Solanum lycopersicum: one gene and its partners. The protein of the gene in region 1 binds, or shares a complex with, the protein of each later gene. Links are inferred from orthologs where the notes say so. Each region holds a gene or a part of one and is shown on either strand. Other genes may lie near its edges. The genes, in order: SNF1-related protein kinase regulatory subunit gamma-1, GAL83 and SNF1-related protein kinase regulatory subunit beta-3.

The links.
Region 2: SNF1-related protein kinase regulatory subunit gamma-1 (region 1) and GAL83 share a complex: the UniProt entries of both Arabidopsis thaliana proteins name them as parts of the probable heterotrimeric complex. The link is inferred for Solanum lycopersicum from reciprocal best matches to the Arabidopsis thaliana genes KING1 and AKINBETA1.
Region 3: SNF1-related protein kinase regulatory subunit gamma-1 (region 1) and SNF1-related protein kinase regulatory subunit beta-3 share a complex: the UniProt entries of both Arabidopsis thaliana proteins name them as parts of the probable heterotrimeric complex. The link is inferred for Solanum lycopersicum from reciprocal best matches to the Arabidopsis thaliana genes KING1 and AT2G28060.

Annotation. Positions count from the first base shown.
Region 1 is NC_090802.1:58,706,533-58,710,564, reverse strand, and holds the start of SNF1-related protein kinase regulatory subunit gamma-1, read right to left. Parts: upstream 2,806-4,032; 5' UTR 2,591-2,805; coding exon 2,419-2,590; intron 1,336-2,418; coding exon 1,163-1,335; intron 740-1,162; coding exon 542-739; intron 439-541; coding exon 163-438; intron 1-162. UniProt on the Arabidopsis thaliana protein: Regulatory subunit of the probable trimeric SNF1-related protein kinase (SnRK) complex, which may play a role in a signal transduction cascade regulating gene expression and carbohydrate metabolism in higher plants.
Region 2 is NC_090811.1:69,120,222-69,124,319, forward strand, and holds the start of GAL83 (SNF1 kinase complex anchoring protein), read left to right. Parts: upstream 1-1,262; 5' UTR 1,263-1,282; coding exon 1,283-1,489; intron 1,490-3,508; coding exon 3,509-3,687; intron 3,688-3,775; coding exon 3,776-3,938; intron 3,939-4,096; coding exon 4,097-4,098. Other genes in the region: uncharacterized protein, read left to right, coding at 1-234. UniProt on the Arabidopsis thaliana protein: Regulatory subunit of the probable trimeric SNF1-related protein kinase (SnRK) complex, which may play a role in a signal transduction cascade regulating gene expression and carbohydrate metabolism in higher plants.
Region 3 is NC_090810.1:59,798,335-59,802,509, forward strand, and holds the start of SNF1-related protein kinase regulatory subunit beta-3, read right to left. Parts: upstream 2,834-4,175; 5' UTR 2,694-2,833; exon of another isoform or gene 2,601-2,693; intron 2,368-2,600; exon of another isoform or gene 2,352-2,367; intron 2,092-2,351; exon of another isoform or gene 2,089-2,091; 5' UTR 2,025-2,088; intron 200-2,024; 5' UTR 187-199; coding exon 133-186; intron 1-132. UniProt on the Arabidopsis thaliana protein: Regulatory subunit of the probable trimeric SNF1-related protein kinase (SnRK) complex, which may play a role in a signal transduction cascade regulating gene expression and carbohydrate metabolism in higher plants.

The DNA of each region.
Region 1 (4,032 bases):
AAACTTGAACATCTTTCTGCAAAATTGCAATCGAATGAACCCGAGAGATGATAGGATAACAAAATAATTTATATTCATAGATTGTGGAAAAGTTATTTCATAATCTGCAAAGAACAAACCACAAGCTCAACAGAAGAAGCAACAAAACTCAAAAGCTCATACCTGAATGATGCTACTTGGCTTCATTAAAGGAAGACCAAGTTCATACAATTTCTTAGAACCCCAGCTCTCGAACCAATGGAGACCAGCACATTCTTCTAGCATGTGTATAACAGCAGGTTGAGTTATGATGTTATCAATCTTATATTCCCCTAAATCAACCACAGGGACACTCTTCATCTTGTATTTAGATAACAAGAGAAGCATTGTCAGAAAGGAGTTCGATTTCTGCAAAGCCAGAAATGGAGCCCAGCGGAATGAACCTGAAATGTCCCGAACCTAAGTAATCACATGTTAGTCAGCACATTTGCCCAAATAGACTTGTAAAACGAAAATCAGTAGATGGTTATGGAAAAATAACTAGTTGACTATAGAGAATAACCTTTGTGTTCTTGTAGAGATCTGACGAAGTTAATGTCTCAAAAAAGTTACCAGAAGTTGCTGTTGGAGATTCAGGATGCAAACTTCTGAATCTCGGAGAAGCGACTCCATTAACAGCTGCAGCCAAAGCAGGGCTGAGAGTATCATCTGCTCCATTCATTACCGAATCAAAAGCAGAGGTGCCCTCCATCTTTTCCGACTGTGAAGTATGTCACAAACTGTTTTGAGCATCTTGATAAGAAAAGTATGTAAAACAAGAATACCAACGTCTTTGTAAGAGTAGACTTCTCTGATGGACACTCAACTAATAGTTATTATCTCATAAAGTCACTTTCTTTGAAGAAAATTGGAATAAGAAGAAATGTGACTTCCTAATATAATAACTATTAGTTGAGACCATCCAAGAAATCAACCAGTCATTGCAACAATTTACTAGACCTTGATCCATTTGAAAACTTGTTTTAACCTTTCTCAACTTTTAAAGGCAACACATGTTCATCAATTTCATAGTTGTGAATGAGATAAAACACATGAGATTGTCGGAGAATTGAGGAAAACACCAACCAACTTGTCCCAGAAAGAGACGTCACATGTTTAACTATGACTATGTATAGGTGCATACCTGATGGAGGATCCACACGACAATGCCGGCGAATTCCACTATGCCAATATATCTATCAATCCAAGTAGCATCTTCAGGGGCATCAACATCCACAACAGGTGCACTTAGTATTTTGTGCTGTGATAGTAACTTAACAGCTTCGGCCAAAGTTGCATCAGAATTTATCTCAATAACTGCAGAGAAGAATAACAATCATTGACATCAATCGGACAATGGTAGTACCAGAAGAGCAATTTTAACCATAATCACACTACAAAAAGAATGTCTGCTAAGCCAGCTTTTCACTTGCAGAGAATAAAGCACCCAAATGAAACGCCATGAGAAGGTTACCAACTTAGGCTGCTTACAAAGAATTTCAGTGTGTAGAAAATTTCTCTAGTTTTTAAGATTCAGTTTCTACTCAAATAGATTTCTGTTACTATCTATTGTCGCTTGGACTTTAATTATAGCACTCTTTTGGTGTAGTTATTGTTCCTTTTTCCAAAGTGTTATCATGTTTACTATAGTAATTTGCCATGATCCCTTCACTTCAGTTATTTCGTTTTTTGTTTGGCTGTAATATGCTTTGTCTTGAGCCAAGCGTCTATCAGAAACAACCTCGCGGTTACACCGTGTATGTTGTAGTTTCTACTCAAATAAACAATACTTAACCAACCAAAATGATCTACTAAACCTCCTTTCAACTTTTTTCTTGGATAAACGAACCATGGTATTCAGGTCAGCTTACAGACTACTTTTCCCGGGCATATGTTATCTCCCACCAGCACAAGGTGGTCGCGAGTAACTTTGTCCACCAACCCCACCACCACGCACACACAGACGCACGCAGGGGTGACATAAAAAGGCAACAAAAACAAATCATGATTCTTGACTCTGATAAAAGAATCTCCGGCTACCATCATTCTGATGATTTAATTAGTAAAACATCCAACAATTCCCTTCTTTTAATAAAACCTGATTAATCTAAACAAGCCACAAATCAAATAAGTTCCTACAACTAAGACTAATTAAAACATTAAATCCACCCCATCACCCAACGTAAAGATCATTTCTGTTATGTATTACAAATCAAACCCTTGACACCCTTTATTCAAGTGATCAAGAAAATCATTTTTTCCACACCAAATCAAGAATCTCTTATACAAAATACCAAAAAAACACCTAAAGATCATATCTTTGTGTGTTATTAATCACACCCACAAGCTAGAAATCAGAATTATCAACCTCTAATCAAACATAATTAATGTTTTTCTAACCTTGATTAGAAGGAGCAGGAGGGAAATCAGAAACAGGAATGTTTTCAAAACATGCGTTGAGCTTTTCAGTAGGACTAAGCTGTGGTTCTTGTATATCCCATAGATCTTCTACTTGCATACCAACTTTTGCTTCTGGGCTTCTTGGTGTTTGACATCCTTCCTCCATCACCATTTTTTTTTCTTCTCTGTGGTTATTACAGAGTGATTGACAAATAAATCAAGAATTTGTTGCTTTTTAAGAAAGTGTAGTGATCCAATAATTACACTAATATATTTGTCAATTATTCCGGTATTAGTACTACCAATAACAATTTCAGTAATCAAATAAAAAAAATTAACAAAAAGATACACGTAGATTATGATATGGTAGTCCCGATCAATATGTCCACCTGTACTGTTCGGTTCGCTTTTATTTGTCATATTATATTTTTTGAAAGTTAATTTAATTAATTTTTAAAATTAAATTTGATTATATTAAATTCAATTTAATAAAATAATATATTTTAAAATATTAATTAAAATTCTTATAATTTAATTATAAAAATAGAAATTATGACAAATGATAGCGGATAGAGAAAATAAAATTGTGCCATAAATATACTTTTATTTTATTTATATTTTATATCAAGTGAATTATTGAGATTTTTCATAACTCGAAATAAATAACATATTCAATTAGCTATATTATTTTTTTATATAAATCCTTTAATGAAATTTTTTAATTACTTTATATTTAAAAATAAATTTATAAATTAAAAAAAACAATTAAAAATAACTTATAATTAATAATGAACTTATGATAACGTTTTCTTTAACGAGTTATGATCAAGTTTGATCGGAAATAAAGGTTTAAATAATTGAAAAAACTTTACACTAGAAAAAGTGAAATATCTTATAAGTTCTTGTAATTATAAAAAGGTATTTATTATCAGTATAAATATAAAATAAGACTTGCTAATTGATATCATTTATATTTTAGTCAAGACTCATTTGGTAATTTATTTATTCGGAAAATTAATATATTAATTAATAATATTTTAGTTTTAGTGAGAAATGAAATAGATGTTTATTAGGAAGGAAGATATAGATGAGAAGTAGAACGGTAAAAGTGGATGATTGGGGTAGAGCTCTATTCTTATCCATTAAAAAAATGATTAATTAGTATTTGTTTGTTTCAGAATTTACTAAAAACCATTAAAATAAGCAAAGCCTAACACTTATCCGGTTTTGCAGAAGGGCCACTTTTTATAAACAAATAAATCAGGGGGCGTTACGTGGACAATGCAACGCTTTCATAATCAATTATGACACCTCATATGTATTTCTGAATTATATTTCAAAATTATCATAAATAATAGGGTAACTTTCACTATAGCAAATAAAAAATTTATATTTGTATGCTATAACAAACTTTGCATAATTGCGCTCCATAGCAAACATAAAACTGTATAATTTGCTATACATATACAATTGTATAATTCGCTGGTCTAAATTGTATAACTCGCTGGCCTATTTCACTATGTCATAAATAATACATATAAATGCTATATGTCATAAAAATTAATGTTTCTGTCGTTTAAAAATTAAAGCATATATGTTCTTCACTCTAATAGA
Region 2 (4,098 bases), on another chromosome or scaffold:
GACAAGAATCGCAATAATAATAGGAATGTGTCATCTGAAACCTCTAGAAAACTCGATGTTATCAATGCTCGACTGCTCAGCCTTGACATGAAAGTTGATTCCAAGCCAGGCTACCCTCAAACCCTCGCCATCGGGATGGCCTCTGGTGGCCTTCTTCAAGTGCTCCCTCGTGTTGCAGAATCGGTTGTCCAAATTTGGAACTCTGTTAGAAATGCTACCAACTCAAAACAGTAATAGACCATAAATCTTGTTGGTTAGCAATGCTTTCTTGTAGTCATGGTTTTTTCTACTTCTGAAGTAGAGTTTTGTTGAACTTATGATATGCCAAAAAAATAGAAAATTGTTCTCTTAAGGCCCCATTGTTCAACCTGGTGTCATGTATCTTTAGCATGTATATCACAAATTTTGGCTGATATACAGTTGTTGTCACCCAAGATCTATGGTCTTTATTTCTACTAGATGAGCGTAACGTTTGCATACAGTCTATATTCTTTTTACTCAACTCATGAAATCACATTGAATAAATTATTAATATATAGTCAAATCGGAATTTCATATTTTATTCTCCACATTAACTTTTCTTTTTCATTTGATGATATTAAAAGTTCAAAAAAATAATTTTGTCCTATTTTCTTTATTATTAATTGTTGATAATAATAATACTTGGAGGCTATCACTATCATTGTGCTCCCAAAGCAACGTGGGCACACACCTAAAGAAGATAATATATGCACATTTATAAAATTTAGTAAATCTACACCTTCCATTTTGTACTTATCCTTTATCAACCATTTTGATCTCTCCATGTCATCAATATTTATCCTCTAAGTTTTCCTTTTATATTTTTTCACTTTCCATTTCTACCCTTTTCCACTCGCTCTTCGATCAAGAGTATTTAAAATATTTTTTTTATTTCGTAATAAGTAAAAATAAGATTTACGTATATTTCAATATATTTGTTGCATTATTTTGTAAATTATCTGCCCTCCAATGAAGAGTCTTTTTGAAACAATTCATTTTTATTTCTTAAGAAATAAGAATAAGATTGACATATATTTCATTGCATTTTTTGTATTATTTTATAGATTAGTCGAGGTGTTTTTAAGCGAAAGTAGAAGGAAGAAAAAAGTCAACTGAGGGCATTATTGTAAATAAGTTCAATAGTGTGCCTTATCTTTTACTGTATATATATAAACACGAGAACGTGACTCTTATTACTTTCTCTCTCTACATATACATACAAAATATACATATGTATATTCACTAGCATTATTGGGAAGACATGGGGAATGCGAACGCCAGAGAAGACGGCGCCGCCGGAGACGGCGACGGCGACGGTCAGGTATCGGGAAGAAGATCTAATGTTGAATCTGGAATAGTAGAAGATCACCACGCTCTGAACTCGCGAGTGCCTTCGGCTGACTTGATGGTCAATTCTCCTCCGCAGAGTCCACATCGTTCAGCTTCACCTCTCTTGTTCGGACCTCAGGTTTCCATTTTTATGCTCATTTTATCCTATTTATTATATATACATATGAAATAGTATATGTGTATGTGTTTGTTTGTGGTGTTGGTGATTCAAAGGGGATTTAGGATTTGGTGTGGAGTAGAGCTCAAATGAGGTCTAATTTGAGCTTTAGATATAGTTCATTTGTTCAATATGTAAACTTTTTTTACCTTTTTGGAGATTCAAACTAAGAATTTTGTCTTAAAAATGTATTTTTTAAAGGAAGGACAGGGTTTTGATCAATATTAGTGTACTGTTAGAGTCCTATGTTAGTTGGAGAGGGGAGGGACTGGCAATGCTTAATGAGCTAGCTTTTTGGGATGAATTAGGCATTAGTATCGTATATTTTACTTGGTATCCGAGCTGGGTATTGGCTTTGTTTATATGAATTTGAGCAATCCTCTCTTAGTGAGCTAGTTTTGGGGGTTGAGTTATACTCAAATGTCATAACTTTACATGGTATAGAGTTGGATCCATGCGCATTCAAGCTCCTTGCCCACACTACAGTTGGACCTGTTCGTGAAGGGGTGGTTAGAGTTCCACTTTGGTTGTATAATGAACGGATGGTCTGCTTATATGGACTTGGGTGAGCTAGGTTTTTTGGGTTGATTTAAACTAAGTATCATATCTTTACAAGTACCAGAAAACACAAAAGAATGGACTTGTCTCCATTTAAGTATTTAAGTAATCTAGCAAATGATGAGCGAATGCAGTGTAGGGTCTGTGCCATTTACAGTGTTCTGTCTTTTCCACATATAAAGTTTGCTCGCCATGGGGTATATACTTGAGAAAAGATGAATCATTTGCCCTTCAAAACATCTATGATTTCTTTTTATTTAAGTGCACTTCTTACCATATTGATATGATGAGAATCACAACTTATAGTACTTTCTGTTTTGTTTCCAAATGTCTAAATTTTAATTACAAAAAATGAGTTGATCTAGCCTGATTTACTGCAAAAGTTGGTCTCGTTGACTCTTCTTTAGAAAATGTGCCAAACATATTAGGATGGAAGAAGTAATCATTTTTAAATGGTTTAATCGTATGATGGTCAGCTAAGGTGGTGGATACACCCACACCCTATGCAATTACTCTGCATGTTATACTGCCTGTCTGTATGCCTTTGAGTTGCGGTGATGTGTCTGCATCTATAGGGGAGAGTTGCAAATTGATTGTAGTGCTGTTCATTATATGCTTAACTGTGATTTGTTGTGTTTTCCCAATGTAGTAGCGATGAAGTGTTCTGCTTGACACTAAATTGAAACACCTATAGGAACAACCATTACAACATCCTGATCCCAGATCGGTAATATGAATCCTCTATTTTCATTCCACTTCTATTAGGTTTTCATGCTATTCCTATGTGAATTTCCTTCAGGAAAATGCTGAATGAACTCTTCTTTCTGTTTAGTTGGAAGCTTGCATTATAGGGCTTGCCTGAGTGTTGGCCTAGCCCTCTGTTAAATGGGAAAAGGGAAAGCATCTCATGGCCTGTCTATTTGTTGGGTAAAACAGACAACTAATTTATATTAGCAAGGTACATGAAAAAACAAAAGGAACTTATGCCAGTCAAGCAAGCTATAATGTTTCTGTATAAGAACCTAGTGCATCCGGGAGCAGGTGGCGGGTGCAGAAATGTTATGCTGTAATCTTAGTAGGACTGGTGAAACCTTAGTCAATCTGTAGTCAAGTGACAGTTTTTCAGCTCTGAATAATTCACTCTTATTCACTTTGGCTGATTTTTTTTCCACCTTATATATGATGAATATTCTTCATGTTTTGTAGTCAGCACTATCACTCAAAATTTAGGCTTTTCAAAGTGGACAGAAGGGAATAATGTCCCTCTGAGGTTGGCAATTACCCAAGCAAGCACCTCTTATTTTTAGTTAACTTGGAGATAGACCAGAGCAGTTAATTGCTTCTTGGGCACCCCAATCGTACCTCATAAATACTTACGACTGACTAGTTTCGAGACTAAACTCCTCTTTATCATCCTTTCAGGTGCCAGTAGTTCCTTTACAAGGAGGGGATGGCAATCCTGTTAGCAATCAAATGTGGGGCAATGAATGCGAGGATGCCTCTGATCATTCACTAGAGGGCGGCATACCTACTTTGATAACATGGAGTTATGGTGGTAATAACGTTGCTATCCAAGGATCTTGGGACAACTGGACATCAAGGTATACTCTGATTCAACCAAGTACTAGCCTGTGATCATTCCTGTTAATGGAGTTTCTGAATGTATCCACTAATGATATTTGCTTGCAGGAAAATTCTCCAAAGATCAGGCAAGGACTATACCGTTCTTTTGGTCCTTCCATCGGGTATATATCATTACAAATTCATTGTGGATGGGGAAGTTAGATATATTCCAGAACTTCCATGTGTAGCAGATGAGACAGGCGTTGTCTTTAATCTTCTTGATGTTAATGTAAGTGAGAGTTCTGTTTCCTGATCATTTTGATACATTATCACAGCGGAGGCATCTTTGATAACTTCAGCACATTAATGCATAAACATGTGTTTTATAGTCTATATACTTGCTGTTCCCTGATAATGTGTTTGGCTCATAACACGTCCTTCATACAGGA
Region 3 (4,175 bases), on another chromosome or scaffold:
ACATTAACTGATCCATCTTGACTTAATGATCAGCCGATGACCCCATTATGGCATATACCATACACAAAAAATGAGACGCTAAAAAGGGTAAATTTAAAAATAACAAGGCCTATATATAGATGGAACACGTACACAATTCCATACTCTTACCCCTACTTCCATAAATGCTTGCACTCCACACCACATTCCAACTGGTTACCTTAATAAAAAAATCCAAAACATGCAGCAATTCAAACTTCGTCAATATCGCATATATTCTCAGATTATTAAAATACAAGTGAAAGAATCTAGCTTGGGATTGAGTAGTAGTTGTTATATTGTTTAAACTGCCCCAAGAATACAGCCAAAGATAAGAGCAGGTCTTCGAATGTGACAACTCAACTAACAGTTTTTAATAACTGATGTCAAATAGTTAGAATTATCCATCCGCGAGTTTGTCCTAGCAAATTCAAAAGCCTTAGCTATTGGTTTAGCCTTTCCACTCCACCAATCCTCTCTTCTAACTCATTTCCATCAGCCAAAAGCAATTACAACTACGCTTCAATCCCAAACAAATTATGTCAGCTTACTCAAATTGCTAGTCACAAATCCAGATAAAGGAGGAGTTTGTGGTAGGTAGACCACCGTTTCAAAACTAGTTAATTTACAATGAAACAAAACACTGAACTATTCCACAAATTCTTCGTTTTGTTAATGTCGTTCCAAGAGCAAGGTTGCACAGAAGTCTAACTGAAAGTTGATAGATAATAGTTCTCATCAGTAGGAGGTTGTATGCATCGGCACCAACACACACATATATAATTAAATTTAACTAAAATGATTAATCTAACTTCAAAAGCTTCCTCGAGGACCAACTATGTTTATCTTAAATTCTTTTAAACATTGATGACAGCGGTGCTTATGATAATCACCACCAAATCCCTCTCTTAACTAATATTTGTAATCTACTATGCAAATTTTTAACTCCTTTCAACCTATTTCTATTGGGCTTCATCTTTAAGTATCCACACTTTTAAGCAAACATCCAGTATTGCACTCTTGTAAATACTCTTTTTATCTTTCCTGATAAGTAGTGCATTTTTCACTATCATACAAAGCAAGTGTACACTGTACACTCACAGCTCATTAGACGTGTATAGCTAATTTTACATGTAATTTAAGGGGAGAGCACAAACATGGAAACGCTGCTCAAATGCAGATGCTACGTAAACTGTTTCCTTCTCCATTAAGTGCTAATAATAACTTATCTACCATCCTAAACACCATGTGCTTTCCATGCTCAAGTGCAGATGCTACGTGAACTCTTTCCTTCCCTGTGATTAAGTGCAAAAAACTTATCTACCATGTAAATCACCAGGAGTTTTCCATGCTCAAGGGCAGATGATACGTAACTCTTTCCTTCTCCATGATTAAGTGCTAATAATTAATCTACGATGCAAAACACCACGTGGCTGCATGATTCAATTACATTTCTGTTTATCCCACTAGCTAATTGAGACACATTTATCGCTCCTAAAAGTTCTTCAAACAGGTGATTGACGAAGAACCAATAATTCCTACTTCTTCCAAGTGCAGGATAACTCCAGTAACACAAAACCCACCAAAAGTGGATAAAAGCTGCTTATCGGATACTACAGATTGTCAATTTGAAATTACAGATCTTTCTTGACCGAGGATTTTCTTTCTAAAATAAGAATCAACTACTTTGCCAACCTCTAAAAAATTTATTTAACATGTATCAATAATCTATCCAGAAGCAGCACCAACAACAACATACCCAGCATAATCCCACAAGTGGGGTTTAGGGAGGGTAGTGTGTATCCTAGTACCACGATCTACCTCCCCTCACCCAAAAAAGGAAACCCTAAATTGATCCAAAATCATTCACATGGGGAATCTACACAATCTGTACACATTGATCGCATGTGTGATTTTGATTCTACAATCATAAATTCGCAAACACAACAAGTAACTACAAAGACAAACATTCATAAACTAATCTAACGTCCACAAGCTACACTAACCTGATTCAACTTTTCTTTGGTTCTTCAATCACACACAAAGAATTCACCAGAATCAACAACCCATCTGCACAAAAAACAATGGAAACACAAGAAGTATCAAAACTTTAATCCATCAAACAAAAAAATCCAACCAGAACCACTAAACCTAAATCCCCAAATTGATCCACAAGACACAAAGCAGAAAAAAGATCAAGAATTCAGTAAAGATGATTTCTTTCAACACAAACTCTACAGAAACGGCAAAGCAGCACATAAAAATCAAAACTTTAACTCTACATAGACCAAAAAAAAATAACCCCAACAGCAAAAACAAAGAATTTCACCTGAAAAATGCCAGAAAAATCAAAACTTTATAAACAAAAATCAGATAAACCCAACAAGAACTACTAAACAAAAACACCCAAATTGATCCACAAGACACAGAGCAGAAAAAAAAAGATAAAGAATTTAGTAAAAATGATCTTTTTTATACACAAACTCTACAGAAACAGGCAAAGAAGCACATAAAAATCAAAACTTTAAGTTTACACAAAGCAAAAAAAAGTAATCCCAAGAACTAAAACCAATGAATTTCACCTGAAAATGCCAGAAAAACAAAAGGGGTTCTGAAACTCAAAAGCTAAAAAAAAAAAAAACCACACTCTTTACAGGTTATATAGAGTATCTCACCTAGAAGATTCCGCCTTGGAATCAAAAGAATCAAAATTACAAAATCACAAAAATTGTATTTTAGGAAAAAACATAATTCTCTAAAGAAATAAAACTTTTGCCAAAAAAAGAAAAATAGGAACATAAAGATTAAACAATTGGGCTTAAGCAAAAAGAGCAAATGGGCCAAGTTATAAAATATCCTAATTAAGAGCATGACAAATTAAGTAAATAAAGGAAATGAGAAAATTACGCGGATAAATATATATATATATATACTAGTTAATTAGCTATTATAGTTATAATTTAAATTAATTATAACTCGCAGACTCTGTTTTAGCTATAATTATGTGTGCCTCTCTCCTATCTTCCTCCCTCTTCTCTCTTCTCTCTTATATATATACAAATTATACATATACATATACAATAATATGATAGATATACAAATACAATTTGTTTTCTTTCATTCTTTGTCCTCTGTTTCTAGTCTCTCCTCTCTCTTCCAGTCTAACTTGTAAAGATATACAAATACATATGTATATCAGTTACATATATAATTATATAATCAATATACATGTATAAGTCAGCAAATATATAATTATAATCCACCTCTCTCTAATCTCTGCCCTCTTCGGCTCACCTCTCTCATCCCTCTCTTCGCTCGTTTCTCCGCCTCTAACATGTAGCTAAGAATCGTAATTAGCAAACGATAGCTATAAAGCCTAATGAAGTTGTTTTTACTGCTATTTGCAAAACTTTTCCTAAATGAAATGCTACAAAAGTTATGTACAATAGGATTAGTGTTGGAAAAGTGTGTATATATGGGGGTTGAAAATTCAATTCGTTTTTGTTCAAATTATTTTAACTCGTCCATACTCAACTCAAGCTATTCATTTACCGCCACAAAATATAATATTGAATTATGAAATAGCTTTGGACCATATATACTTATAAATCAAAACAAAAAGAAAGAATCATTTGAATATTGAACTTGAACTTTAAATTAACAAAGAAGAAAACTCACATTTACTTACTTTGTAATGACTTTAGAGGTGTCACTTTCAAAGTTAATTTTAATAAAGTCTAATTTTAGATAAACATATTTGAACGTTTTAAGAAAATATAATTTCAAATATAGTGTTTGAAATTCATCTTAACTTCAAATATCATTTGGCTTAAAGTTTTTCGAATTGAGTAGACTTGACAACTTTTACTCGTTCCTAATATGATTCAAATAGTGATTTCGAAATCAAGTATATGTGATTGCATAATATTACTTTTTTTCTTATTTATATCAAAGTTTTGACACAATTTTATATCAAAGATACAATTTAGACTGTTACTATTAAATACACATGGCCTTAATTAATACAAGCAATCAATGCAATAATGTGATTAATTAGTGAAATTTACACTATTGATTAATTTTTGATACGACATTACAGGATTTAGAACGCAAATAACAATTACATAGATAACTGATAGTACTATGATAACTTTTGG